Oryzias latipes: one gene and its partners. The protein of the gene in region 2 interacts with the protein of the main gene of each other region in a biochemical or structural test. Links are inferred from orthologs where the notes say so. Each region holds a gene or a part of one and is shown on either strand. Other genes may lie near its edges. The genes, in order: nfkb1, B-cell lymphoma 3 protein and nfkb2.

The links.
Region 1: the proteins of B-cell lymphoma 3 protein (region 2) and nfkb1 form a complex in vitro, tested with the Homo sapiens proteins (2 studies listed by BioGRID). The link is inferred for Oryzias latipes from reciprocal best matches to the Homo sapiens genes BCL3 and NFKB1.
Region 3: the proteins of B-cell lymphoma 3 protein (region 2) and nfkb2 form a complex in vitro, tested with the Homo sapiens proteins (2 studies listed by BioGRID). The link is inferred for Oryzias latipes from reciprocal best matches to the Homo sapiens genes BCL3 and NFKB2.

The regions. Positions count from the first base shown.
Region 1 is NC_019868.2:30,826,788-30,836,991, reverse strand, and holds part of nfkb1 (nuclear factor NF-kappa-B p105 subunit), read right to left. Parts: 5' UTR 10,084-10,204; intron 9,178-10,083; exon of another isoform or gene 9,159-9,177; intron 6,012-9,158; 5' UTR 6,007-6,011; coding exon 5,968-6,006; intron 5,413-5,967; coding exon 5,328-5,412; intron 1-5,327.
Region 2 is NC_019874.2:21,828,588-21,838,791, reverse strand, and holds part of B-cell lymphoma 3 protein, read right to left. Parts: intron 10,091-10,204; coding exon 9,982-10,090; intron 3,764-9,981; coding exon 3,562-3,763; intron 3,144-3,561; coding exon 3,055-3,143; intron 2,971-3,054; coding exon 2,893-2,970; intron 2,465-2,892; coding exon 2,297-2,464; intron 1,087-2,296; coding exon 993-1,086; intron 920-992; coding exon 810-919; 3' UTR 1-809. UniProt on the Homo sapiens protein: Contributes to the regulation of transcriptional activation of NF-kappa-B target genes. In the cytoplasm, inhibits the nuclear translocation of the NF-kappa-B p50 subunit.
Region 3 is NC_019873.2:12,630,750-12,640,953, forward strand, and holds the start of nfkb2 (nuclear factor NF-kappa-B p100 subunit), read right to left. Parts: upstream 9,315-10,204; 5' UTR 9,300-9,314; coding exon 9,133-9,299; intron 8,538-9,132; coding exon 8,501-8,537; intron 6,966-8,500; coding exon 6,890-6,965; intron 6,711-6,889; coding exon 6,670-6,710; intron 5,242-6,669; coding exon 5,143-5,241; intron 5,036-5,142; coding exon 4,884-5,035; intron 4,734-4,883; coding exon 4,621-4,733; intron 4,361-4,620; coding exon 4,202-4,360; intron 4,126-4,201; coding exon 4,021-4,125; intron 3,943-4,020; coding exon 3,854-3,942; intron 3,730-3,853; coding exon 3,591-3,729; intron 3,477-3,590; coding exon 3,357-3,476; intron 3,255-3,356; coding exon 3,096-3,254; intron 3,002-3,095; coding exon 2,860-3,001; intron 2,759-2,859; coding exon 2,644-2,758; intron 2,570-2,643; coding exon 2,362-2,569; intron 2,294-2,361; coding exon 2,124-2,293; intron 2,042-2,123; coding exon 1,939-2,041; intron 1,871-1,938; coding exon 1,692-1,870; intron 1,614-1,691; and 6 more. UniProt on the Homo sapiens protein: NF-kappa-B is a pleiotropic transcription factor present in almost all cell types and is the endpoint of a series of signal transduction events that are initiated by a vast array of stimuli related to many biological processes such as inflammation, immunity, differentiation, cell growth, tumorigenesis and apoptosis.

The DNA of each region.
Region 1 (10,204 bases), on a different chromosome or scaffold from region 2:
CTACACTTTACACTGAGTTCTGGGGGGGTTGATGGCAGTTCTCCTGACCAATCCACATGTGTTTGTGGATTAGGGGGCAGGGCTCCAGACTGCGACCAAATGGTCGCATTTTGCGACCAAAATTTGAGAGTGTGCGACTGAATTTTACATCCAGTCGCACATGTGCCACCAGTAAATGTGCCTCCCCCACCCACCGTATGTTTTATACATTAAACGTGGAAGGGGCACGTCAATGATCAATGAAATCATCAATGAGACGCGAGCGCACACACGCGCAGACAGACACACACACTCGCGCGAATACTCATGAGACTGGAGCACACGCGAGCGCACACTCGCGTGTCATTGAGTGATGCCTGAGGCGGCCAATGCGTGTGAGAAGAATAGGGAAGGTCACTGCAAGTGGCTAAAATGTGTGTAGGGGGCGGGGCTTAGAGATAATCGAGTGCGCGTAAACATCTGTGGGAAGGAAACGGAGACAAATATCATCACAACCTGATATGTGCGTCTGAGCTATGAGCAAGAGAACTATTGATTCGTTCTTCCGACCTGCGGCTAGTGTACCAGTGCCAGAGTGTACAGCAGGGGTCTCAAACTCGCGAAGCAAAGCACTGTTCTCGTGCGCGGCTGTCACTGCAGCACACCGCTCCCGCGGGAGTCGGGGCAGCTGATAAGAATAAATGTCCCACACCTACATGCGTGACAGCTAACGGGGCTTGAACTTTAAACACGTGTGAGCGACAACACGATTTAGTCTTAGACACATTTAAAACACGTTTTGAAAATGCAACGATAGACGTGTTTACGATGAACCAGCGCCCTGGGGGTGGGGGTGGGGCATGAAGGCGAAGCTGCAGCGAGACTGAAGAGGAACAGGAAGTTGGAGTTGTCCTTAAGATTCAATTTAGTTTTAATATTCCTCTCCCCCTCAGTATGATCTGTGATATTACATCTTTTATAATTATTTTAATGTTTTGTGATGTATGTAGCCTTTTTTAATCAGTTGGTATTTAAGATTATTTTAATTAATCAGTGAACTAAAAAAAAACCTCAGGACGCATGTCCCATAATGCATTGTTTTGTAGTCTGTAGGGCAGCTTTCAGTCAGTTCAGTACTAAATTTCCAGCTGCGTTCGCTCAGGTTGGGGTCTTGCTTCCGCCCCTTTCTCGTGATATTTTTGTTTTGATTGACAGGTGATGTTGGAGCAAAAACAAAAATATACATCTCACACCAGGTGATCTGTGCAGCGTTGAGTTCACCTGGGTGATTTCAAATTATTGTGCATCTTGGCTGAACCTATTTGGTGTCACCAACATGTATTTCCATCCCCTAATGTTTACATACATTTAAGTATCGTTTGAAACTGTGAAATGACCAAAAGGTTACTACGGTAATCACTTTGTTACTAAAAACTTTTTTTTATTCTAAATGTATGGTATTTTTTTTACTATTTTTACTTAGTTGTACTGTCGTGACAGCGATGCTGCTGTCAGTTTACCTTCTTGTTGCATCTTCAAAAGTGCAGAATAAAATGTGACACTGAATTAGAAACAGCTCATTGTAATTTCTGCATCTATTATTAAAGTATTTATTAGTAATACGGTGGAAATTAGTAGATTTGGTTAGCATGTTGATTTACGCCATGCGCCCCTAAATTTTCTGGTTGTGCCCCTAAAATTTTCAGTAGGGGGCCACTGTGCTCCTAGTGAAAAAGGTTAGTCTGGAGCCCTGTTAGGGGGGGGGGGAGTATTCTTCTCCCTTCTGGTCTGGGGGGGTGCTCTGAAAGTATGAGATCCAGAAAGGTCTGCAGAACCGGGGCAGGAGTTTGGTTTGTTTAGCCGGCACCAAGTCAAACCCGTTCCTGGTGCTTCACACGTTTTCCTGTTGGCATCATTTCCCTGTCAAATAAGTTGGAGTGGTTTCCTAACCACAAACCGACTGAGGAGGAAGAAGCCCCTCCCAGATGAAGATGACGCTGTCACACTGAAGCCAGCGTCTCCACCTGTCAATCATTCACACTCAATGAAAGATGAAACTGCAGGAAACCTGATTTCTTTCCGACTGTTCAGTTTCTCTTTCCTTATTGGCTGCTTGCTCCTGATTTCTGGGATTTGATTGGCCCAGCGGCTCACATGCAGCATCTGACATCATCAGATGGTCAAAACAAAGACAAGAACGGCCCAAATGTGAAGGTGAAGAACAATAAAATGAAGGGAAACGACAAAACCTCCAAACAAATAACAGAGCTTATGTGGAGTGACCCCTCTTATGTAGCTGTGTGTGGGAGGGGCTGAGTCACTGCGATCACGGAGTAATGGAGACTAGGGTTGGGCGATGTCCCCTAATTTGGCCGTTGACGATGTTTGCTGTCAACCATCGGCATGGACGATGACATCGTCGGGGGGGGGGGGGGGGGGGGTATTTTTTAAATTTTTCGTTCTTATATAACTGCTATTCATTATTTTGCTTTTTTCATTTTATTTCCCAACTAATGGTTAATCCGCGATGATCCAGTATAAACTGAGGGAAGTGACTTTAACAGAAAAAGTAACAAGCAAAATAGAAAAGAAGTAGTCCGCTCCCGCACTTAACTAGCGAAGTGGACCGGCGGAGGGCGGATTTACAGCTTTATGTTTGATGGGAAGGGGGGGGGGGGGGTACATGAGCGGTATGTGTGGGAGATTTAAGACTGCGATCCGTCCCGCAGCTCTAGGGGTACAAGCTATCAAACTCAGAACCGGGTCTAAACGTGTGTCTGAGCACAGTTCGGATCGTCAGCACACAGCGGTTTGAGCTTCAAAGCAGAAATGTCGCTCAGTCCTTAGAAAACATTCAATCAATCACGTGGATTTGTGTTTCCAGTCGTGTCCCGACTAAATAAAGGCTGATGTTATTCACAGGATGCAGCGCCACCCAAAGCTAATGTTGTTAGCCCGTGTTAGCATACTGCTAATCCTGGCTCCGTTCAGAAAAAGCACTGACCACACGGATTAAAATTCAAATGATGAGCGAACAGGTGTTTCATAATAACCGTAACATTATTAAAAGCACGTTTAGAAGATCGTCTCGTATTTTACCGAGCTGACATGTCAATGTATATAGCCGCTCGGCGCTGTTTAACATTGTTTTGTATTGAATTGTTACATTCAATAAAGTTTGGAAAAAAAGCCGCTCGGCGGAAGTTATATCCTCTTCCGGTTTTCAAACTGCGCGTGTGCGAATGATTTATTCCGACCGAAATTGTGACCTTAGTGAACGTTTTTATATTCTGAAAACATTTTTCTGGGCCCATGTACACGGATGGATTCTAATCCGACCATTGACCCCATCAAGATATTTTGTACATGTAACCGCGGCTTATGATGTCGACGCGCAACGTGGCGGGGGCGTGGCATCACGATGGTGGTCTCTCCATCGGGATGTCAGTCACCCATCACGATGGACGATGATATCGTCCATCGGCACAACCCTAATGGAGACAGACCCTTCAGATGACCTGCTGCTGCAGGAGGCGGGGCCACAGCAGGAACCACGGCCGCACACCGTCACCGGGTCAATGCGTGTTACTCCATTGGAAAAGTCGCATAATCATGAAGAATAGTGATCATGGCTGAAGACAACCAAGCTTAACCCAAATCATGACGTTTCTATGGCAACACGTATCTGTTAGTTTGACTAAATATTGGAGTTTTCAGGTTTCAGCGGAACAAAACCAAGAAGAGCCACAGAGTGAACCATGAAGAAGAGACTGGACAGGAGACAAAGGACATGTCCATCCAGTAAGGCGGATGAAGGACGCCGTAATCACCGGCGTGAGCGCCAAACCACAACATGCGCGCCGGCTGTGACCGCCAACAGAGACGGGGGGCCCAATGGCCGGGACATCCGCTCCGGGGACCAACGAGTGGCGACTTTTCTGCGGGAGAAAGGAATTCAACGGTGGCGGCGTCAAGGCTCACCACAAACCCACCCCCACTTCCCATCATCCATACGTTTACGCGCTCCTCTGCCAGCTTACAGCCCCTCACACCCCCAACCTAACATTAGCATTACAACAAAAACGCAGAGCAGCATCAGGTCCGTCCATCCGTCTGGTTCTGATCCAGATTTCAGCTCAGTCCAGGAAAACAAAGACCTTCATGGATCTGTTGGTCTGCACGTGGATGATCAGAAAGGGGCGGAGCTTGGAGACCGTGGTCCCGCCCAGCGTATGTTTCGTCACAAAGACTATTTTTTTAAACCGTATTTTTTTATCTGATTCAAAACGATTTGAATGAAGAAATCCTCAGAAAAACATGTCCTCCATTATGAGAAAAGCGCCAAAAAAGCCGATTCCATCAGAGCCGGTCCAGACAGGCGTCGGTCAAACTGTCAAAGTTTCCAAAGACCAGTCCGGTTTCTGCTCTGGTTCATCTAAAACCGCTTTTACGTCTTTATTCTCAACTTCCAGAACTTTAGGTTGAGAACCGGCAGAGGCTGCAGCAGGAAAGCAGAACTTCCAACGAACATGCACACACGTGTGAAAACCGTCCCAGAAAAGCAGAAATCGCTGAGGCGGTAAATCCAGCTTCAAAGGGAACCATTTTCAGTTTTAGCAGCTGCTGTGGAGAAAATCTGTTTTTTCAGTACAAACTATTTAACATATTTGCTTTATTTACATATTTTTATTGTTTTATTGGATTTTTTCTCTTCCAGCTGCTGCGTATTTGCAGATTTACTATGGGAAATCCTGGGACGGTGAATTTGGCGAGGCTCTAACCTTGAATGACCTTTCTTGTTTTATCTATATAACTTTGTTTATTGAACATTTTACATTTGAACAGACATACAGAGTGTATAATGAGATGTCAGAACCAGGACAGTGATGTGTAAAAAACAAAAAAAGACACTCGAATGTCAGCCCCCCCCCCCCCCTTCAACAACTCCCTGAATGACCTTCCTGGACTCTGAGTGTGTTGGGTTGCCCACTGTTACACAGCCAGTGAACCTGACTGGATGTTTGTTCTTTAGACTGGACTCATTGAGTTCGCTGAAAGTGAACCAGAGTCTGTTACCCCCGACAATCCAGAACAGATGTTCAGTCTGGATCCAGACCAAACCAGAGGTTCAGAACCCGATCCGGAACAAAGCAGCGACTGCAGCTCGGTTCTGCGTTTGATCTGGTTTGTCGTGTTCAGGTTTAGAGAAACCTTCAGGGAGCAGAAATAAAGACGGGGTCACCAACGACGCTGGCGTTTTCCCGTGGCTCCTGCCTTTGCTCGGGGGCGCGAGGATGAGGAGGCTCTGAAGGTCAGACACACCCGACCGGTCTGTGACGAGGACTCACCTGTTTGCAGAGACGTGGACTGAGGCATCGCAGGGAAATGAGTAAACTCCCAGGACGGATCCATGATTAAGTTTCCATAAATCTGCTGGACACACACAGAGTTCTGGTGTCAGGATGTTCTGAGGAAGTTCTGGACTCCACCTCTGCAATGAGACCGGTTCCATCTGTGCTGCTTGGTGTTTGCAGCAGATCACTCTGAAAACCTGGACTCTGCTGAGGAACCTGGAGGTCCTGGAACTGCTCTTCATCATGAACATAGAACGATCCGAAAACCACGCTCATCAGAACATCCTGGTCCTCGTGCTGCAGGTAGGCTGGTGAACCCCCCAGAACCTGCAGAACACCTGACATTCAGAAAACTGGAACCAAAAGACTGGTGGAACCTCTTCAGACGGGACAGGATGGTAGAAGGTTCAGCTGGAAGAAACACGCCCAACGGAGGTTATGAGGGGTTCACCAACTTTTTCATGTGGGACCAGGGAACCAAACCGCCAACCCACCCATGTGGACCATGATCTTCACAGAGCAGATCAGCTCAACTACGAAAACATCATGAACATCTGTCCAAAAATGAGGTTTTCACAAACATCTGGGTCATTGTTCTGCAGGCTCCACCCCCTGCAGAGCAGGAAGAACGTACCTGGTTAGAAGCACGGAGGTAGTGGTCGTCTCCAGCCATGGCGTCTGCAGAGATCAAAGGTTAAACCATCATCATCTGCTGAATCTGAAGCTTCTTGTCCATTGACCATGTGGGCGGTGTCAGTACACAGACCCCCTACTACACCCACACAGACGTCCAACTGAGCCCACGCATACGGCTTCCTGCAGTGAGTAAACCTATGCAGACGCCCTACTAAAGCAATAACACCCACGCAGCCGTGGTACTACACCCATGCAGACGCCTTCCTGCAGTGACTACACCCACGCAGACTCCTTACTGATGCGACTACACCCACGCAGATGGCTTCCTGCCGTGACTACACCCACGCAGACTCCCTACCAAAGCAATAACATCCACGCAGACGCTGTACTACACCACGCAGACGCCTTCCTGCAGTGACTACACCGACGCGGACTCCTTACTGATGCGACTACACCCACGCAGACGCGGTACTACACCCATGCAGACGCCTTCCTTCAGTGACTACACCCAGGCGAACTCCTTACTGATGCGACTACACCCACGCAGAGGTCCAACTGAAGCAATTACATCCACGCAGACGCTGTACTACACCACACAGACGCCTTCCTGCAGTGACTACACCTACGCGGACTCCTTACTGATGCGACTACACCCACGCAGACGCGGTACTACACCCATGCAGACGCCTTCCTTCAGTGACTACACCCAGGCGAACTCCTTACTGATGCGACTACACCCACGCAGAGGTCCAACTGAAGCAATTACATCCACGCAGACGCTGTACTACACCACACAGACGCCTTCCTGCAGTGACTACACCTACGCGGACTCCTTACTGATGCGACTACACCCACGCAGAGGTCCAACTGAAGCAATTACATCCACGCAGACGCGGTACTACACCCATGCAAACGCCTTCCTGCAGTGACTACACCCACACGGACTCCTTACTGATGCGACTTCACCCACGCAGACGTCCAACTGAAGCAATTACATCCACGCAGACGCTGTACTACACCACACAGACGCCTTCCTGCAGTGACTACACCTACGCGGACTCCTTACTGATGCGACTACACCCACGCAGAGGTCCAACTGAAGCAATTACATCCACGCAGATGCGGTACTACACCCATGCAAACGCCTTCCTGCAGTGACTACACCCATGCAAACGCCTTCCTTCAGTGACTACACCGACGCGGACTCCTTACTGATGCGACTACACCCACGCAGACGCGGTACTACACCCATGCAGACGCCTTCCTTCAGTGACTACACCCAGGCGAACTCCTTACTGATGCGACTACACCCACGCAGAGGTCCAACTGAAGCAATTACATCCACGCAGACGCTGTACTACACCACACAGACGCCTTCCTGCAGTGACTAAACCGACGCGGACTCCTTACTGATGCGACTACACCCACGCAGACGCGGTACTACACCCATGCAGACGCCTTCCTTCAGTGACTACACCCATGCAAACGCCTTCCTGCAGTGACTACACCCATGCAAACGCCTTCCTGCAGTGACTACACCCATGCAAACGCCTTCCTTCAGTGACTACACCGACGCGGACTCCTTACTGATGCGACTACACCCACGCAGACGCGGTACTACACCCATGCAGACGCCTTCCTTCAGTGACTACACCCAGGCGAACTCCTTACTGATGCGACTACACCCACGCAGAGGTCCAACTGAAGCAATTACATCCACGCAGACGCTGTACTACACCACACAGACGCCTTCCTGCAGTGACTACACCTACGCGGACTCCTTACTGATGCGACTTCACCCACGCAGACGTCCAACTGAAGCAATTACATCCACGCAGACGCTGTACTACACCACACAGACGCCTTCCTGCAGTGACTAAACCGACGCGGACTCCTTACTGATGCGACTACACCCACGCAGACGCGGTACTACACCCATGCAGACGCCTTCCTTCAGTGACTACACCCATGCAAACGCCTTCCTGCAGTGACTACACCCATGCAAACGCCTTCCTTCAGTGACTACACCCACACAGACACCTTACTGATGCGACTTCACCCACGCACACGTCCAACTGAAGCAATTACATCCACGCATACGGCTTCCTGCCGTGACTACACCCACGCAGACTCCCCACTAAAGCAATAACATTCACGCAGATGCTGTACTACACCACGCAGACGCCTTCCTGCAGTGACGACACCCACGCGGACTCCTTACTGATGCGACTACACCCACGCAGACGCGGTACTACACCCATGCAGACGTCCAACTGAAGCAATTGCATCCACGCATACGACTTCCTGCCGTGACCACACCCACGCAGACTCCCTACTAAAGCAATAATATCCACGCAGACGCTGTACTACACCACGCAGACGCCTTCCTGCAGTGACTACACCCATGCAGACTCCCTACTAAAGCAATAACATCCACGCAGACGCTGTACTACACCCACGCGAACTCCTTACTGATGTGACTACACCCACGCAGACTCCTTACTGATGTGACTACACCCACGCAGACTCCTTACTGATGCGACTACACCCACGCATACTCCTTACTGATGCGACTACACCCACGCAGACTCCTTACTGATGCGACTACACCCACGCAGACTCCTTACTGATGCGACTACACCCACGCAGACTCCTTACTGATGCAACTACACCCACGCAGAGGTCCAACTGAAGCAATAACACCCACACAGCCGTGGTACTACACCCATGCAGACGCTTTCCTGCAGTGACTACACGCAGACGTCCAACTGAAGCACTTACATCCACGCAGACGGCTTCCTGCCGTGACTACACCCATGCAGACTCCTTACTGAAGCAATTACATCCACGCAGACGCCCTACTAAAGCAATAACATCCAGGCAGACGCTGTACTACACCAAGCAGACGCCTTCCTGCAGTGACTACACCCACGCAGACTCCTTACTGATGCAACTACACCCACGCAGAGGTCCAACTGAAGCAATAACACCCACACAGCCGTGGTACTACACCCATGCAGACGCTTTCCTGCAGTGACTACACGCAGACGTCCAACTGAAGCACTTACATCCACGCAGACGGCTTCCTGCCGTGACTACACCCATGCAGACTCCTTACTGAAGCAATTACATCCACGCAGACGCCCTACTGAAGCAATTACATCCACGCAGACGCCCTACTACACCTACCTGCAGAGACTACACCCACAAGTTAAGAAGATGCTTCACCTGCCAATGTGGAGGTCTCATGACCTTTTGCATCGTGTTCTCATTGGTGATTCCAGAAGCTGCTGAGACAAGAACTTAAGCGAGGTTCTAACAGTTTGTTCTTTAATTGCAGGAACATCTGTGAAAGTGATGATGATGACAGTAGAACCTCCTCCAAACTGAAGAGGCAGAAACCGTCACCATCGACAGGTTTGAATCAACCTTCCCATAACACAGAACCCTCAAAGTTCTGTCTGGCAGTTCAAACCGAAGCAACAACAACAACAACAACAACAACAACAACACAGAGCAGCAGATAAACAAACCAGCTGCCTATTTGTAAACAGTATGGGTGGGGGCGGGGATAGTCCAGGACTTTTTTATGAAAACAAAAATGTTCCCATCCTTCGTGCCAATTATTAAAGCGTTTTTTTCAACTTCGGAATTTGGGTAGGAACATCTGATTGTGCGCGTGCCTGCTGCGCGGGAACTCGCTCAGCCTCCTGAACGCCGCGAGGCTCGTTGTTTACGTTCTTTTAGAACACATTTACACATTTGCTGTCGGTCCCACGGTGAGCCCGTGCGTGGGCTCTTCCAGTCTGACTGCTGCGTTCACGGTCCGGTCCAAACAGTCAGAGATTCCGCCACGTGTTAAACTTAAACCGCCATGAGCCGACGTTCCCTCGTTTCCGAACGTTTTCCGGTCAGATTCTTTATGGTTTGTCTTTGTTGCCGTACTGCCGCGAGCACGCGACCGTCACCTTATTAACACAATAAACTTGGAATAAAATGAGTGTATTTCTACTTTTTGCCTCTTTGTTGTGGTAAAGTCCGCGCGCGAAAACGAATGTCCGAAGAACAAGGAAGTGAAAGGAAGTGGCGTGGTCTGTTCTGACCCGGTTCTTACCTGTTCAGCTCAGGTGAACGTCCGCAGGTGAGGGTTCTCGTGCCGCTTCACCTCAGGGGCTCTCGCTCATTTTTTTGTTTTTTTTGTTTATTATTCTGTCGGAGCGAATTTCTGCCTTTTT
Region 2 (10,204 bases):
GTCTAAGCAACTTCATAAGCCAAAAAAATGCACACTGATGTCGTACCTGAATCCCCCCCAGAATCGAAACCTTTTCAAACTCACTCAGTCCGTTGTTTCAGTTGGCTGTAAGTTTAAAAATACCATGACTGCAGTTTACTAAAGTTTTGTAGTTAAACTTGCTTTATCTTTCCTAGTCTTATCTGATTAACCCATTTATCGACATTCAAAGTAATGTACCGGTAAGTGCAGTGTTTTGACGACATATTGGTTCACCATTTTAGCTCAACTTGAGCATGTTTTTAAATTATAATTTTAGTGTCAAGCCCTGGAAAAACCTGTCTTTGGTAGGAAACACGTGATTCCTCTGTTGAGTCCGGCTTTGACCTTGAACCTGAAGGTCAAATACGTTTTGCATTTTTATTGACAACAAAAACCAAACATTTAGAAAAACGTGACAAATTATTTGTATATTTTTTACTATTTCGGTGTAAAGGAAGTTTTTCTTTTTATAATAATAAAAGAAGTGCCGAAGTCAGTAATTCAAAATCTTCATGTTCTAGTGGCTAAAACACAGAAAACATTCATGTCCACAGTTCCATAAAGACCACACGGATTGAAATACAGCATTTAAAGACATGGGAGCTCAGACAGAGCTGTGACGATGACTGTCTTTTGTGGTGATCTTCACTTCAGTCAGATTCCATCTGGAATATTGTAGTTTCAACCTCACAGAGCTTGACTCTGTATGTCCAGAGCCCTGACATCTGTTATCTCTTTGATGCTTGCTTGTTTGGAGGTAGTTGCAAATTCCATTGGTTGATAATGAGCTAATAAAAGGAAAACTGTGCAGATGAAGTCCTTGGAGAGTAGTTTGAATGAAGGGCGTGGGGCGTTGTGGAGGGTGAAGATCCAAGGCTTTGGTTGGAAGACGGGGAACCTATAAATATATAAATTAATAAATCATTTTATAGTCCATGAAAACTCGTTTATGACTTTGTTTATGATCTCACCATTTTCCATAAAAGTGCTCCCATGTGTTAATACTGACACGCAGTTCTGATCTCTGATCTGCTTGGTCCCTCTCCCCCGCAACACATCTATTATCTGCAGATTTGCAAACCGTAAACAATAAGATATCCAGGTATTTGGGTGAATTTTGCAGCATTGATCTTGCATCTGTTTTATCCAGCCTACAGGGTGTGTGCTTCTTCATGCAGGGTCAGTGGGAGGGGCTGAACTCAGTTTTGATAAGGAAAAAGGTGGAGTTCAGCATGAACAATAAACTTGAACAATAAAGTTATGGCAGGGAGAAGAATAGGGGGGAAAAACATGACACAAAATCCAAGACTACATACTAAACTATCTTGTGTGTCATTAACTGTGGAGAAAGTGCTCCCACCCCCCCAAAGAACCCACACTAGCCTGAGGAGATGTAAATCTCTCTGTAGCTCTGGAACAAACCAGAGACAGCTTTTCTCTCAGTCACTGAGTTGCATGTTGTTACAATGTGCTTACATTTATTTTATACCAGTTAACTGGTATAAAATAACACATTTTAACACATATTCCTCTGGAAATCACTAGTTTTCTGAAATGTTTTGACTGAAACCAGAAAAGGTAGGTACTATGGGACATCGCTGATTGGATGATGACGTTTGTCCATCATTTCAGTCGAAGGTTGTTTGGCATGAAGTCATACTGGATATGTTCTGGACTAATTATAAAACATTTTACAGTATGTGGACAATAAAGACGCATTTCAAAAAACTCAAATGTCATAAATCAAATCTCATCCTCCAACCAGCAATGTCCTATAGTACCTACCTTTTCTGGTTTCATGTCGTATTCCGTTTTTTAAACATTTCATGATTTCTGGAAACTACCGGTACTTATGTTTTCCAAAATGTTCCCGTTTTATTTTCTTTTTCTTTCTTTTTTTCTTTTTTTGGGGGGGGGGGTTGTGTTTTGGTGTCTGGAATTTTGTTGTAATTTCTTAAAGGTATTTTTTTTCTTATTTGTAATTGTGGTTGTGATCTTTAAAATGTTTTAGTGCCAATTTGTTGATGTGATTTGTACTTCAGGGCCACCGTAAATATTGCATCTTCCCCATTTGTCCACTAGAGGGGAAGATACACACACCTTTAAACCTCTTCTTGCTTTAATTTTTTTTTCTTTCTTTTTCTGGAGTTTGAGCATGTAAATCAAATAAATATTTTTATTTTGTTTTATGATTGAGACAGGATTTAGAAAATATGAGCACAATTATCTATTAATGGATCAAGTACAACATACATTATTTTCTTATTGTTCTTACTTTTTTGTTCTTGGCCACCATCACAGGTGTATCATTGTGGTAATTCTTCAGGCTACTGTCAGCTCCGCTTTTAAGTAGAACCCGCACGATGTCTACCTGACCTCGGCCACAGGCCACATGCAGGGCGGTGTTCCCGCTGTATGACTGTCTGTTGACGTCACATCGATTCTGTAACAAAGAAACAGATTTATTTGTGATTCATGCAGAAAACCACAGTAGCAGCAGATGGGTTTTAAAAAGACAACAAATTGTATTCGGATTAAATTAATTTTCTCTTTTATTTGTATAGCCCAAAATCACAACAACAGTCGTCTCAATGGGCTTCGTAAAGTAAAGTAAACATAAAATCATAAGAATCATGAATGCATAGAATTCAATAGGAAAATTCTAAACTGATTTAACTAAACAGACTAAACTAAACTGGGCATTTATTAGAGGAAGGACAACACCTTTGTTCATAGTGGCCATAGCGGGATTTAAAAAGATGACACTTTGGAAAATTTTCTTTGAAGTTTGGACAAAGAGAGAACCAGCCCTATTAGACAGAGCTGAGTCACAGCCCTTCTCTTTTCTCCCTGCCCACACAATCTCATTACCTCAACGAGGAAGTGAACCATGCCAGCATTATTGCTCTCCACGGCATGTACAAGAGGACTCTGGCCACTCTTGATGTCCTGATTGGGAGAAAAAAAAACATCTGAAAATCAAGAATTGAAAACTTTGATAGACTGTAAAATCAAGCTGCAACACGGACTTACCATAGCATTGATGTCAGCTCCAGCATCCAGCAGCATTTTTGCCAAATCCTGATGGCCTTGCTGAACAGCCATGTGCAGGGGGGTTAAACCTGTGAGCATTAAGTAAAGCCTGAGTTCTAGCAAAGCAACTGAACATCAAAGATTCTAATTCTGCATTCCCTGTAGACTATTCTTCTGTCAATACTCATTCTGAGAGCTTTCACACAGATGATGTCTCCTGTTCTGCATGCATATTTGCCAGAGTCACAAAACCGGGACACCATAACTGAAGAAGGAAATGTTTTCATCCCGCACAACCTCAAGACTCTAACCTCTACCTGAACTTTGGTTGAAAAACTATTTCCATGGCAACCTAACAGTTTCATTGTAAAGTAAAAGAAAAACAGAAAGAAAGAAGTGCAGGAATAGAAATCACCCCCTATAGTCATTTTGATTCATTTTAGAATGATATTTGACTAAATAAATGGTCCATACAGATAAAGCTTCTTCACTAGACTCAAAACTTACCCTCAAAGTTTCTAGCCTCCAGGCACGGGGAGGATGAAGATCGAGACAGCAGTGCAGACAGACAGTCCCGCTGGTCATATTCACAGCAGAGATGGAGCGCTGTTTGGCCGTGACGGTCCAAAGCGGAAGGGTCAGCGCCTGCTCCCAGCAGAGCGTCCACTAGAGTAGCCTGCTTTGTTATCACTGCAAGATGAAGAGGAGTCTGCAGAAAGACAACAGCAAAATCTGGGTTCAGGGCCAGAACTCAAACAAATAGGAAATTATTCTCTCAATGCAAAAAAAACCCAAACAACAATAGGGTATACAAACTTTATTATTTTGTGTGACAAATAAAAAAATGAACAGAGACTATCTTTAAAAAATAAATGATTGACAATGGAAATCCCCCCAAATCCTGTTAAAATCTTTCTGTTTGGTTACAATTTAGTTTTCATAGAACCTGCCATCATTTTTGCAGTTTTGTCCTTGGATGTCATATTTTTTGAGGAAAGTGTTTACTGCTTTTAATACAACGGTCACTGTTTTGCAACAAATTCGATTTGCTGTAGGTGTTACGCAGCATTAAAAGCTAACAGAGGCTCAATATCTCATTTGCTTCTTTTCTGACTTCTTAACTGCAAGTTGGCTTGAGCTTGCAAAGTAAATGGAGCAGACAAAACCCAATTGAAGTCTAGACTTTTGAAAACACAACAGCACTTCATTCTTTCCTGTAAGTAAAGTTTTTTTTCTGAAAGAAAATGGCCCCTTCATCTGTAACCAGAACAACGGGTTAGAGATCTAAGATCATTTAAAAAGGAGCTAGGATCCAACTTATCAACTGAACAGACAAGAAAATGTGTTTGGCAGGACCGTCACTATTAGCATTCCTACATGACTTACAGTAAATTTACCATGATGTGAAAAACTTTTACTTGTTTATACTCAGAGGCCTTCACAACGAAGAAAATTGTCCACTGTTCTAACCTGGGAGTGGAATTACTTCAAAAAGGTGGAACTTGTCATCTCTGCAAAGTCAGAAGATCGTCAGGTGTTTCTTTAAAATAAGGTATGGCGAGCAGGATCCCTCTGAATGCAAACGTTCTATCTGGACGAGGTCAGCATGTAAAAGTGGCCATGTGAACAAGCCTCTCATTTGAATCAGGCAATACAGTTCAGTTCAAACGCAGAAGTGACCTGACACAGCTTTTTCAGATGCTATTTAAGTTATAAAAATGATTCAATCGGGAACATACTTCATCTCAAAGTTTCACTTTTGCTATTTTAGTAACTGGAATACAAAGTGTGTTTGTGTGTGTGTGCACGTTGAAGGTTTGTTCCAGTAAAGGGAGTTGAGAAAGAAAAAGGCCCTTAAGCACCAAGAGAACAAAATCCAAGCATTCCTCATTCAGTTTTTCCTTCTGGGTACTCTATGAGTTGCATTTTTGTGTGCTTTAACAATTACAAGATATTCACTTCTGTAAATGTCCTTAGAGTTAAATAACATTATGCAAAAGAGGCCTCACCACTATCTTATTTCTGGGAAATAAAGAGTCCCAAGAGAGTTTCAGCAAACTCTAATCCAGCATTCGATGATTCGATGCTTTGAAGAATCAGGCCCAATGTTGTGCTTCAAGATGGTTTTGTCAGGATTTTGTTCATATTTCAGTTTCAATTTGATTCAAACTGACGTTTGGGCCTCAGATTGGCAGCATTCTGTAAACATAGCAGCACTTCTCTGACATCTGTATCAAAAAACACAGAAGTCTCCTGTACACAAGCCGGTTGAGACAGAAATAGTCATCCTATCAGAGAAAAGGTAACTATAACCAATGACATTTGGATATTATGTATATGAAAATGCATTTGTTCTTTGATAAATAAAAATGTAAATATTTTGTTCAGAGTGCAGTTTCATGGCATGTGCATGTAGAATTACTGGAAAATTAAACAGGAAGCATAGTGGGACGAGCTCCTTGGTTTGTTTAGTTTATTTAAAAAAGTAAATAACAGTTTTACCACCCCAAATTAAGAGTTAAAAACCTGTCTAAAAAAAGAGACCTAAAATAAAATCTTATGGTGAAGTTGGTGCATTTGCTTGTTCTCTTATTCTAATCCAACTTCCTGGAACGCAGTCGATTTTTGCAGGAAGTTTTACAAGAAGTTCTTGTAGGATTAACTTGCCGTGTTTTATTTTTATTTTTTATGACTCACTAACAAAACACCTATCACTATAACAAATCATCCAAATAAGAGTGTTATGGGGTTATAGGAGGTCAGCTGAAGATTTATCGGAATCATCAACCAGCGGGAGGCGGGCAGGGTACCTATGGACAGTTCATTAGTCCATCACATACTACATTTAAAATCACACATCTATGCAGACTGAAATTCACCTGATTAAAGAGGAGGAGTACATTAAGAAAACTAAGGCCTAAGCTCCAACATGAACCAACGTCCAAAGCTGTCAGGTGACAGAGCACACTACCACATAGTTTGTTGCCAGCGGTGAACGTTAGATAACCCTGTCAGATGACTGGAAAAGTTGCAAAAGTTACCAAACTAAGGATTGCAATTCTCAACAGACAGTGGTTTTGGCTTCTCCTGTCTGACAAATGAAATGGATAATGTCAAAGCTTATCAGCAGGAAATTCCATACATTTGAAAAGAAATGTTTTTTTTTTTTACTTCTGCATCACACCCCACTATATAAGTAGAGGAGCCAATTCTAAACTTACTTGGAAATCTGACATGCATCATATATTGATGGAAAAATAATTAGATATCACCCATATCAACGCCTGCATCACTGCCTTATCCAAACAAATCCTCAGCTTTTCCCCTTAAGCCAAGGACACTTCCCAGATAAACCCTCCTTTGTCCTTCAAAACAAACACCTCAGGGCCGGCAAAGTCACGCCAGTGCTTCCTGTAAAGGATTTCAGAATGACTTGACAAAAAAGACAACAAAGATAAGAGGAAGGGAGTGAAGGGGGGAGTTGGTTTGGTGAGACTGTGGAATGAGGAAAAAGCGGAAGGGGCGGGAGGCAGCACAGGGGAAAGACAGTATGAGGAGGGAAAATCCCTACACTTTTCCCTGAGTCTGTCCTCACACACTTGCATTCCTGAGAAATGAGCCGGTCAACATGAATGGGGTAAAAAAGATGGGAAGAGAAAAGACGTAAAAAACAGCCACAGGCTGAAGGCAGTGCTAGACACATTGCAAGAGAGAAGGAAGGCAGCATAAAGAACTCATAGTCTGCAGCAGACGTTGGAGGCTGAAAACCAGTTCTGTTGTGCAAATAAATATCAACCATGAGCTCTTACTTGTTTGCACACATCACACCAGCATTAATCATTTCACATGTGTAGGTTACTGAAATGTTGAAGGATAAACACAGTAAGAGATGTGAAAAAAAAATATTAAAAAAAAGATATCAGAGAGAGAGTGGCTTCCAGACCAGCACGCGCTGGAAGGGAAAGTCCCTGTAAACTACCCTCTGAACCTCAGCGCAAGGTATGTTGAGAAACCGCCTGAAGCAAGACAGGCGGGGAGGGGGGAGGGGGGGGGGTCATGTGACTTCTCGGAACATAGATACTAAAGTACACACACACACAGACGTTTTCTTTGTTCACACAACTTCACACAAGCTCATACAGACAATAAAAGAGATCACATAAAAAAAACACACACACACAACTATTGAACAGTGGCACACTCTCTGTGTGGCAACATTTGCTCAGCGCGGACTACATTTCGCTGCACATGGGAGTTTGTGTGTAGGTGGCCCTGAGGGATTCAGTCACGAAACTCCACCAGTGTACTGTAAGTGCCTCCACCAGCAACGCCGTCAGCTGTCACAACAGCAGCAAATGAAACTATTGATTGTCTTTGCAGGGGTACCATGACCAAAGTGGGAGTATCAAAGAGCAAAGAGGCAAATCACACACAGAGCCCTGCAGAACTGCTCAGTGACAACACTGATAGTAACACTCTGTCAAAACGTTGTACCCAATAAAAACCACAAAAACACAGGATCTGTCATCAATGTTGGAAAATACAACAATTTTTGTTTTTTGTGCATCAGAAGTTAGCCAATGCTGGAAATTGTCCTCAAGGTTTGTTTAGTAAGCTTTATGTTTTGAAAATTAAAAAGTTCCCTGCAGCCTTATTTAGATTAGTGTATTCTTTATTCCTGGTATTCAGTCAAAACCACACAATCTGGTAGGCAAATGATGGTGACGGGACCCGCGTCTGCAAATCTCCCTTTGCTCGTAACTGCAAGTGACAAAAAAATCTGTGCGTGAAGAGACGGTTGGAGTGTGTGTGCAAACGTTCATGTGCATGGCTAAGGCAGTTTACAACAAAAGCCAGGTTGTCAAACCTCTCTGATAAGGAAAATGAGCCACCAGTGATAAATGGCTGCATAATTTCTGGTAAGCGCGCCTGTGGTGGCATGCATGGTGTGAAAAACCCAGGCTTGAGAACAACAACTCTGCACTGTTCAGGTGTTTTCTTTGTGGATAGATTTTAAAAAGCAGCTGGTAGAGAGCAGATAAGGAAGGTAATGAGCTTGAGAGAAGAGAGGGGAGAGCATGTGGAAGTGTTGGAATCAGGCAGGGACTTTGGACAACCCTGGATTGGGAAACACTTAAAAGGAAATCCTTGTGCACATTCCAGTATGCTGCAGTTTAGGTCATATAAGGTTACTAAATCTGAAATGCCTCCCTGCTTGACACTCAGCATTGATGGGTTGGGTTGGGGGTGAAACCACCAAATGGTGTCTGCAGCTCACCGCTCCCCCAGGGGGTGGGTCAAATGTGGAGAGCACATTTCAGACATCTAGGTGTGTGACAGCTAGTGGGACTTTAGAAAATGAAACTTTTAATTTTTTTTTAAATCTGCAAACAGACTAGTTATGCCAGTGACATTGCTTTGAATCTGTTTGTAAATTTATGCCACTCCAGATAGTCAAAACTCCACGTTATTTCCTGACACCTACTACTAATGCAAGGCAGGAACCTGTACAACCCGAGCTTCTGCAATTATGAGATGCATAGACATTAACAGGAGGCATTCCATGCACCTCAATCATCCTTATTTTGAATTTCACAATCTGGTAAACCCTGCACGTTAAGTGTGAAAAATCCCTACTTAAAGGGAAACTGGTTGCTAGAAGAACCATAAACAATATAAAAAACAGAACATGGGAAAGCACGCACAGTCCTTCCCAAAATGCACATTGTTGGAGGTTATGGCAACCACACGTGGAGAAACCAGGAAGGGTGAATTCCTGTGCATGGACCTCAACTGTCATGACTGTAAGAGTGTGAGATAACACAGAAAGCTGCAAAACGGAAACCAATGCTCTTCATGTTTTTCTTTTTTTAACCTTTTTTAACATATCAGCATTATTAGATAGGAAAGGAGAGAAGGGTTTGTGTCTTAGAGATACTTAAAGACCCACTTCAATGAAAAGCATGTTTTTGGTGTTTCTGACATGTTCTTGTTGGATTTTTCTTGTGACAGAGTACATTTGTGAAGAAAATTCAGATTAAAATTGCAATTTCTGCGTATTTCTTTTTTCAAGTTGTTGTGAATCAAGAGCAGGCCAGAAAATTTAGATTGTAAAAGCTTGTAAGTGTGACCTAGAAGCTACTATGTTAAGCCTCAAGCTACCCACTCCATTCCATTCAGATGCATCCACTTGCAGAAAAAAAAGATCCTTGTACATATTTGTTTTCCTCGTCTGAGCTGGCATCTGGCTCAGAAATGTACGACTGGATTGCTACGAAATTAGTCACCATTTTTGTTGCACCACTAATGTTAGGTTGGGGTTGTGAGAGGCTGTAAGCTAGCGAGAGAGAGGGTAAACAAATGGATGATGGGAACTGAGGGTAAGCTTACTTCGTGCCAACAGTTATGCTCTTAACTCAAAAGGCGAATTTCTATGAACTACTGCCGCTCTGCAGAAACTATGTCCTACAAAATCACAGATTGCTAACTATAGAACAGTAGCGGAAGATATCTTTCTATTTTAAAACATTTAAATACCCTTAAAGAATTCAAATCAAGTGTTTAACCATTTAGGTGAAACGTTTTTTCCTGGGGCAAAAAAAAAAAAAAATCTGAGATGTTTCCTTATGTTAAAAAAAGTCACTTTCTGATTTTTTTATCATCTGAGGGTTGAATAAACGGGCTTGCGTGGTCGTGTCGCCTTACAACAAGAAAGCTATATGAATACATCTGTATTTATTTATTGGCTCTGTGTGTTTTTTGTTTGTTTGTTTGTTTAGCAAATAAATATAGAATTAGGGGTTTTCAATTTGAAATTGTGTTGAATCCATGAATAATTGTTTTAATTCAGTATAACCCTTGGGGCACTTCCTTTCCTTGTGTCTGTGGCAGGTATGTAAAGCGTAAATTCTAAAGCTGTAGTTTCACCTGACGAAGATTGTTGTAGATGTCAAGTCCTCTGCGAGCGCACAGCAAAAGGTGGATAAGTTTGCAGACAATGGCGTAGTTTCCCTGCACCACAGCAATATGGAGGGCTCTATGGTGAGAACAAAGACACAAATGCACAATTAGCAAACAAAACACTTATTGCATTCTAAAAAACATTCCAGGCACAAATCCCACTCGCATGAAAAGTATGTTTTGGTTTTTT
Region 3 (10,204 bases), on a different chromosome or scaffold from region 2:
GAACACAAAGATGAGAGAAGATGAGATCTGTGAAGAACAAACTCAACAAGCCTTTGGAGACCGCAGGAACTTCTGTCAGAAAAATACCAGACCGGAAATAGCAGATCCAGCTTTAAGGCAAACAGTTGCTCTTTGGACCTGATTTGTTCAACGTGGGTTTCTTCCATTTGGTGGGGGCGGAGTTTGACAAACAACTGTCTGGAGCTCACCTGTGCTGTGCTTATCCTCCTGCAGCTCTGCGTTCCTCAGCAGGCGGATTCCTTCTGTCAGACCGAGAGACTGAAGAGCTTTTACCAAATCGTCCACGGCGCCCCCACCCAGCTGGAGACACAAACGCAGACAAGAGCCGACAGTGAGGGGATGTGTGAAAGGGAATCTCAGAAATCTTCAGAGATTCTTAAGGAACGTGATCCTTAAAGAACAATCTGAACCAAGATGGCCCCATTTGTGGGGGAGCAGAACCAGAAGTAGGTTGAACAGTCTGACCAGTCCAGCCTGGATCTTCTCTAAATGCAGCATCAGGATGGATAAACTCAGCAGCAATGAAGGAGCATCCTGGACCTTTGGAGAGCTGCAGACTCCAAAGCTACGTTCACACCCCCCTTGGCAACGTGTGTTCAAGCGGCAGTTTCCAATGAAAGGTCTACGTAAACAAGTGTTAATATGCGTTTGGGCTTACATGTTCAAAACTCTTGCGTTCGCCTCCGAGTTGTTGGCGCGGAGTAAACCTTACCTCATTTCCCATGATCCATTTGTTTGCACTCTCTCCTGCTAGCTTTCCAGCCCCTCCCAACTCCAAGCTAACATTAGCAGTGCAACAAAAACGGTGAGCAATATTGGAGCTATCCAGGTGTACAGGTTTGAGTCAGACTCCAACTCAGACAAGGAAAACAAAAATGGACATGGATCTAGTGTCCTACAGGTGGATGCATCAGAATGGAGCAAGTGACCCGCCCACTGCACCACCTACGTCACTACAGGCTTTTCAAAACGACATTTTTTTCTCTGCTCCTGATTCACAACAATTATAAAAACTCAGAAAGTTTTCAGCTATTTTTATACATGTCCTGCATCAGAAAAATGTTACAAGAACATGCTAAAAACTTCCAAAATACTATTTTCTTTTGAGTGGATCTTTACTGAACCTCCACTGTGAACACAGATCGAGACACAGGTCGTCTGCACCGACTTTCTAATGACTATTCTTTGATGAGCAGAAGAGGAGCGTTTCTGGACTTGTCGGTATTTGAAAACCTGTGAGCTCATGCACATGTGTGTGAGCATGTTACCTTGTAGTGCTGCAGCAGGTGGTGGCAGGGGGTGGGGCTATCCTGGTACAGGTGAGTCAGGGTCATCATGCCCAGCTTCTCCGCCAGCTTTATCCAGGGAATGTCGCTGACGCTCAGCACCTCCACCAGCTGGGCCAGCGTGTCCTCGTTCAGCCCCGACCCCTCGGCGCCTGCAGCCCGGCAGCGTGTTAGAGTGAACATGCATGGGTGTGAATGTTGTTAGCATGCATGTGAGCACCTACCTTCACCGCTGTTGGCTTTGATCTTCTTGTTGCTGTGGCGACTTGCTGTGGGACTCTGGCCGCTTTGCAGCAGGTTCCTCACCTGGACCCAGAAGTTAGGGCAAACATTAGAAACTGGACCCGGCTCGGCTCCTCAGAGGCGCTCCTGAGGATGTGTCACCTTGTGGCAAGTGGCGAGGTCCAGAGGGGTGTGTCCTGCCCGTCTCTTGCGAGTGTTGATTGGCTGAGAAGCGGCTCGTTCCGCGAGCTCCTCCCTGGTTAGTTCGCTCTCGTCCACTTCTTCATCTGACGAGGAGCTGCAGGAGAGTGGCTCGTCGTTCTGGATGTTCTTGTCTGCGCCTGAGGAGCACCAGACAGGTGAGCATGTGGGCAGAGCAGGGGGGCCTGCGATTGGCGGCACGACTCACCTGCTGCGATCAGCATAGAGCAGAGCGTGGGGGAGCCCAGGCTGGCGGCCAGGTGCAGCGGCGTGTTTCCTCCAAACGTGCAGGCATTGGTGTCCGCCTTTAGCTGAGGATGCAAGGTGTCATGTTAGGGGCGGAGCCATAAGTTGCTGTATATATAGGAGACCCCTCCCTGGTGGCTGTGTTACCTCTGTGATAAGCGTGCAGGCAACCTTGAACAGGTTTTCTCTCACAGCCAGGTGGAGTGCCGTGTTCCCACTCTTCTGCTCTGGGGCATTAATTTTAGCTCCGCCCTCAATCAGCAGACGCAGGCAGCGCTCGCCGTCCCTCCTCACAGCGAGGTGCAGCGGCTGAAGACCTGCAGACAGACAGCTCTGAAACAAAGTGTCGGCGCCACGACTGAAGAGCATACGGCGCCTCCTTCACCATGGTAGTCAGGCGTGTTCACCAGGTGGCTGTGGCGTTCTCCCATGTGAGACAGCAGGAGGCGGAGCAATGAGCTGTCGCCTGCCAGTGCTGCCAGGTGGAGAGGGCTCCGACCGTCTTTGTCTGGAAGGGTGGGGTCAGCCCCCGCCCTCAGCAGCGCCTCCACCACCTTTGGTTGACGGGTGATCACCGCCAGGTGAAGGGGAGTCTAGAGCGAGCAGAGAGGGATGAGTCAGCAGGCAGGTGGGAGGTGGGCGTGGCTAAAACGTGAGAGGTGATTACCTGCTGGAGGTGATTGGTGGTGTTCAGGATCCGCTGCTGCCGGCTGCTGAGCAGAGTGTGGATGAGCTGCTGTGTCACACCTGTCTGCAGGTGGATGATGGACAGGTGCAGCGGCCTGGGAGGGCAGACAGCAGCGTCAGCAACACACCTTAAAACCCCCCCTTGAACCAGCAGTGAAGGCGGAGTTTAGGTGACACCGATGGGTGGGTCACTTACGTGTCTCCATTGGTGTCCTGGACGCTGCACAGGTGTGTCTGGATGGCGAGAAGAGCGCGAGTGTCCCCAGTGCGGCAGTACTGCAGCAGGGCAGCGGCGGTCTGCCGGGCGCTTTGAGACACACGGTTGTTGAGCGTGGCAGCTGCCAGCAAAAAATAAAAAATAAAAGTTAACAAAAAATTAGTTAACAAACTAGAGGCAGATGTGTGTAGCTCCTCCTCCTCCAGGTGTGTTACCAATTTGTAGCAGCTGTTGCTGCAGTGGTGAGCCTGCTGGTCTGTCGCTCTGCTGGGGGGCGGAGCCTGACATCTGAGCTGCTCCAGTAAAGCCTGTGAACCCTTCTGAGTAAAAAGTTCCGCCTCCTCCTCCGTTCATCTGCTGGTGGAATTGAAATCCTACCAAGGGGAACAAGAGAATTAGTCTGATCCACAACCCAGATGCCTCGATGGCATCACAGGAAGGCAGCAAAAGGACAAAAAAATTATTTTTTTAAATACCTCCAGCTCCTCCACTGGCTCCTCCCCCAAATCCCCCAGCGCCTCCCCCTCTTCCCCCTCCTCTCCAGGACTCATAGTGAGGCAGTGGCTTCTGCTTCTTCCTCAGAACCTCTTCTTTGTCTGAAAAAAGAAGAACTGTCATGTTTCTCTGCTGCGCGATCCTGAAGATGGAAGCAAAGCCACTGAGCACCTGCACAGGTACATGCACGAGCGCACGCACGCACGCCGCCTCACCTTGGACTTGTGGTATGTAGGTAAACTGTTTGGGGTCACTGCTGTCCCCGGCTTTCTTCCTCCGGAGCTGCAGGAAGACGGTGACAGACCGCTGGATCTCAGTGCTGTGATACGGCGGCGTCTTGAACACAATGGCATACTGAGAAGACAGACACGTTGAAAAAGGAAGGTGAGCAGCTCTGATTTAATCTGAATCATTCAGCAGGTTCTTCATCACAAACATTAACCAGTGAAGGAGTTTGTGACTGAGCAGGAACACCAACCTGTTTGTGAACGTCGGTGGGGGAGAAGTCCCCGAACGCCTCCCAGCCGCCCTCATCGTCCTCCTCATAGAAGCGGATCTCAATGTCATCTGCAGGACACGATGGGACGTCAGCGTATCAGCGCATCTATCACAGGTTTGACCTTCGGGATGGGGGAGGGTCCTCACCTTTCTGCACTTTATCACACAGCAGGAAGATCTCATCTCCTCCGAGTACAGAGCCACAAGTCTTATCCATCCTGGAGATCTTCAGGTTGGAGGCATTGGGCGACTCTGTAGGTGAAACACGTGTCACTTCCAGCTGCGGTGAGCATCAGTGCTAAGCATGTGCAGTAACGTGCACACTCACTGCTATCATAAATGGGGTTGGACACCACAGGTTTGAGCGCGCGTGTGAAGCCTCCGTTGCTGTCCTGCAGGTAGGCAGTGAACTTGAGCCGCACAATGTTCAGGTCCATGCTCTTACTCAGCTCCTTCACCTCCTTCTGGATGGAGGCCTCTTCAGCATCTGCACACACACACTCCATCATCAGTGCTCACAGATCTAAGTGGGTTTGCGTATTTGCATCTGAGTTTGTGTGTTTGAACAGGTGTGTATGTAAACAGGAGCGTGTGTTTGCACATGTATGTGAATACTTCCACACGTGTGTGTTTGAGTATTTGCCCAGTTGTGTTTGTCAAACTGTGTGTGTGCGTACTTATGCATGTGTGTGACTATTTGTATGGGTGTGTGTGTGTGTGTTGTCACAGGTCTCAACGTGTGTGTACCTGTCAGGTGACAGTGTCCTCCGGTTTGTCTCCTCCTTTCCTCCCTCAGTCTTCGGGTCAGAACATCGACCACGCCCTTCTTGGTCACATGGAGGATCCCCAAATTACTGAACCTACAGGAAGTGACATCACATTCTTTATCAATCAGCCTGACTCTGCACAGGTGATAATGCTAAATCCATCAGAACTATTTAGTCTGTCCCTTGGGTTTAGGTTGTATTTAAATGTGTTGTGTTGATGCAGCTATGGGATTGGATACTAACGAGGCAGTGAGGTCGTTGGGGCCGACGTCCAGCACACAGGTGCCGCTCTCGGTGCAGTTGCGCCCCACCAGGCTGTGGGCGTGGACTCGCGGGGGGTCGGTGTGGGTGACGAGCTGCACCTCCACCCGGGCCTGACCCACATAGTTGTTAATCTAAGACACACACACAGCCGGTTACAGACACAACGGGCCATAGGATGTTTTTGTTCCAGCCTCCAAGGAGCAGCAGTCTGCAGCTGAAGCGGCTTTGGTTCACTCACCTTCACTGTCGGGTAGGTCCTTCTGTTTTTCTCGCTAGAGGCCCCTGGCAGCCCGCCGTGTGACGGACCCTCACACTCATAGCGGAAACGAAAGCCCCTCTGGAAGCACAAAGAGAGCAGCAGGTAAGTATCCACCAGAGAACCATTAAAACCAAAGATTGCTGACTGACAGGTGAAGGTCATGAGGGAAAATTCCAGCTATCTGCAAACTATCATCAGAACCCGCTGAATCCCTTTTGGGGTCATGGGGTTGCTGGAGCCAACCCAGCTACTATCGGGTGAAGGGGGGTACACCCTGAACAAGTCACCAGTCTGTTTCAGGACCACACACACTCACACTTAGAGTCACCAATTAACCCATGAAGCATGTTTTTGGACTGTGGACTGTGGAAGCCGGGGAAAAGTCACGCATGCATAGGGAGAACATACACGCTCCACACAGCTGGCATTCAAACCATTCTCACTGTGAGGCGAGATCGCTAACCACTACGCCACAGCGAGCCCAAGGAAAAATTCACTTCCAAAAAGGGCTGGGATGACACAAACATTTATCTGTAAGTAAACCAATGAATGCATTCCTGTTCCGATTGGGTTTTCTGTCATGTTTTGTTTTTTCATCTTTGTCCATCAGGAGGCGCCATTCATTCAAGCAGCAGTTCTGAATGTCAGTTTTCTGGTTCTGATGGCGTCGGGGTCACGGCCTGTTTGGGTCTGTTTGCAGCAGAGCTAATAACAAAGACTGTCATGATGAAGAGGAAGATCACACCAGACTTTGCTGGTAAATGAGTGCTGGGAAAGCCCTGGATAATAGGAAATGGCCGTTGAGGGCCTTGGGGGGGGGATTCCCACCATCGTCTGTGTCAGCTGTTCGTCATCCTCATCAAGATCTTGTTTTCACGAAGAACTTTTGAAGACGACTGAATGAGAAGAATCTGTGCACGGCTGCAAAAATGAAGATTGACTCTCAGGAGCGTCTCTGTAATCTGATGTAATCCAGAGCAGCTCTGCTCAGAGTCCAAACAGGTTTGATCACCAAATCAATCAACTTCTGTTTTAAGCTTCAAAAGATACCTGTCCACGTTTTAAAATGAGCTTTTTTATTTTTAAAAAACAACTGCCAATACTAAAAACATTCAAATGTTTACAAGAACTTCCACATTCATAAAAGCCTGTGAGCAAAAAGAAGAACCAATCAAATGCACCAACTCAGTGGCCTTGGGGTAGAGGGTCTGCCCTGAGACTGGATGGTTGTGGAGTCAAATCCATTGTCGAGTCATACCAAAGAATTTAAAAATGGTACCCAGTGCCTCCCTGCTTGACACTCAGCATTAGCGGGTTTGACTGGGGAGTTAAGCCCCCAAATGGTTTTCCAAGTGTTGCTGTGTCTGCAGCTCCCTGCTCCCCCAGGGGGTGGGTCAAATGTGGAGAACAGATTTCACCCACCTAGGTGTGTGACAACTAACTTTAACTTTATTGGTGTCGCCAGACGCTAACTTTTTCACCCAAATACCAATACCAATTTCTCACCTGTTTGGGCTCTTCGATGATCTGGATGTACGGACCGTGAACTGAAACACAAACACAGCAGACGTATGAGCTGCAGGTCTCACGCCAACTTCAGCAGCTACATTGCAGGAAGGTGGAGGCAGATGGCAGAGGTCTGACTGAGCGTGCTCTGGGCAGCAGGAGAGAAGTTGGCTCTGCAGCAAACTGTGCGATGACGTCACACAGACGCCAGAGAACTCACCTGTCTCAGGTATGTAGGGTTCAGTCTTTATGTCCACTGGGGGAATGTAGTCATAAGGCATCAGGTTGAGCTGCAGCTGAAGGAGAGAAAAGCTCACGGTTAGCATCACAGCCTGATTATGAACACCGGCCGGGTTCTGAGCAGGAACGGGTCAGCTGGACCCGGCCAGCTGCCCAGAGCTGCAGGAGGAGTCATTTGATAAAAAGCAGTTTTCTAACCATAAGATAGTGATGGCGTTCAGGTCACCGCACGTATTGATTGCAAAGCTGTGGATTTTGTGTCATTTTTGTCTCTGGATGCACAAACACAACTCCCTGATTTTAAAAACAAACATCATCTGGATTTTGAAGCTCCCTCCTGAAGATCCTCTGTGATTTCAGCTTGAATATGTTTTTATTGTTCTGATAAAAGTGTCTCTGTTAAAACCTGACCTCTGACTTTGGTTTATAGATAAATTTGTTTATTTCTGCTTTTTGTCACTTAAATAAAAGAATTTGTCTCTAAGAAAAATCCCCAAAATCGATTTAAAATATAGAAAAAAAAATGAAAACAGCAATCCAATCATTTTCTTGAAAGGGTCAGATCTGGTATTCTGGCTCCACAGCTGCTCTTCAGAAGATCATCATCATCATCATCGCTCAGTTGATGACGGAGCTCCACTCCGTCTGAACATTTCTGACTAATTTCAGCAGCAGGTCAGATGATCACACATGACTCTGGAGCTGCAGGGACTTTCACTACTTCATGGTTGAAGCGTAATTCCAAGAATTACACAGATTCAAAACACTGACTGAAGTCTGTTTCCTCATAGCTGCAGTTTGTTCATCATGCAAGACGGTGTTCCATAGTCTAATTACAGTGAATAACGAGAAATCAAGACTCATTTAATGACATTATGACAAAAGGAAAATGTCAGATTTATTTGTTCTAATTTAAAACAGACTGAAAGCCTGGCTTCCATAAAGTCCAACTACGATCATTTTTTGATCTATTTTTAGTGTTCCCAGTGGTTTTTTAATTATGATTATACCGTTTTAAGCCAAATTTAAAAGAAAAAACCTGTCTTTTTCTAGGACAGAGTTTGTGCAGAGCGGCAGTTCATTAGAAATTCACGTCTGAGTTGTGAGCAGGACTGTTGGCACGGAGCAAGCCTGATACTTCCTGTCATCCATCTGTTTTTAGGCTCTCCCACTAGCTTACAGCCCCTCACAACCCCAACCCTGGGGCCAATCCCTGGAGCAATTTTGGAGCTATCCAACTGTACAGTTCTGAGCCAGATGTCAGACAAAGACGTTGGTGGATGTAATTGTCTACAGGTCGATGCATCAGAATGGAGCAGAGCAGGTAGCTTGTGGCTTGTTGTATTAATTTGTACGACACATTTAAAAGCTTTTTCCAACAGTGCTCCTTTTTTGTCATTTAAATAAAGAAATACTTAATAATGCCATTTTAATCTTTATTTTCTTAACATTTGTCCTCCATCATGAGAAAAATGCCACAAGAATATGTTAACAACACCAAAACCAATGATTTTCATTGGAGTGGGTCTTTAAACAGAAATAAAGATTAGAAATGTGTCAGCAAGTTGTCAGAGAGGTGAGGAAGACTGACCTCGTTGTCGTAGTTGATGAAGGAAGCTTCGCTCATCCTGTAGCACAAACACACAAACAGCAGTTGTCAGAATCCCTTCAGTCTCTGAACGCCTCACAGACTCCAAGAGTCTCAAAAACAAACTGCAGCACTTTCACTTTCACAACATGGGCGAGAAAGGCTAACTCCAACTCTCTCTCGCTCACTGCTACTCCCCCCCTCCCCTCCCCTCAGTTGTTTTCAGTCACTTCCTGGAAGTGGCGAGCTGAGGAAAACCCCCAGAATCCCAAGCAGAGAGCAGAGGGGCGGGGCGATGATGTCAGTCAGAATGAAGGAAAAGCTCTTGTGGCTCAGAGCCTATGACGCTCTGGACTCGGATTCCAGCCGGGTCAGCTGCAGGTCTGAGTCTGCAGACGGATCACTCTGACCCGGAAAGGCTGCATGTTTCTTCGGGACAGAAAAAAAAAACAAAGAAACATGGAGGCTCCACCCACCAACGAGTCCAGCTCTCTGTGTTACGCTCTGGTGACCTATGCTTACTGAAGGCTCCAGGAAACTGGTTCTTCAAAGTAAAAGTCTGACATTCCTGTGAGGATGCACCGACTGTAATCAGAGTATTTTCTGTGAAGTTGTCACACAGGCAAAGCACAGACCTGAAGCGGCGAACAGACCTTCTGCAGGTTCCTTCAGCGGCGACGCTCTGACACTTCACTTCCTCTCTGCTCGGCTCGCCGTGCGTCTCTGCCTTTTCTGTCTGACTTCCTGTCTCTTCCCCTCTGAGAAAAACCCGCCTCACATCACAGTTTGACTCAGTCCTCATCTGAAGCACCTTTCCCCTCAGCGGCGGGACGTCCCCCTTCAGACTGCGCCAGACAATCAGAGCGCTGCATCACCACCCTTGTTTACATAAAAGTCCAACAGTGCAAAAAAATAATAAAAGGGGGCAAAAACCCAACGGGGAAGTCAAAGGAATCTACAGAACTACCTCACCAGCTCTCATCCTGAAACCTGCTCCTGGCAGGTGGTTGCCATGGCAACAGCATCAAAGTTCCAATAAGCTGCACTTAAACAGAACAGTCTGATTGTCTGATCATCTAATAATTAATCTGATGGTGTCATGACTTCAAGAAAGGATCTGTATTTCCCTTAAAACGTCATTCCTGGTGTTTGAAGGAACACCTAGGCTTTTTCTGCTTTCACGAAAGTGTCACTTTGATGTTCAGGCACGGCAGCACCCCCACATTCAGATTCTTCCTCCCCCAACACCACATCCCTCTGTCCGGGCTGCAGAAACGTTTCCAGCTACTCATTCTGGCTGCTCTCATTTCTTCTCTGCTTCCTCGGAAGCCGAACTACCCTTCTTTGAGGAGCGAACATCTGAGACAACTTCTTCTTTTTCTTCTTTACATAATTACAGAATCATCAATTCACGCCCTTATATTAAAAACTGATGTAAAACTTAAACAAGTGAATCTGAAGAACTCTACATGACAGCAACACAAAGATCTTCTGATGATCTTTGTTCAATAAAATGTTGCATTTTCAGAATAAAACAATAAAATAATAAAGAATAATAACAATAAAACAAGTCCAGTGCTTCCTCTGCTATCTCAGAGACTTTCAAAACAAAGTTCTTGTACGTTTGATGAACGCTGCAGGTCAGAGGAAAACTACAGTGACCTGGAAGGCTCAATACCTGCAACATTCACTTCAGTGTTTGCAGGT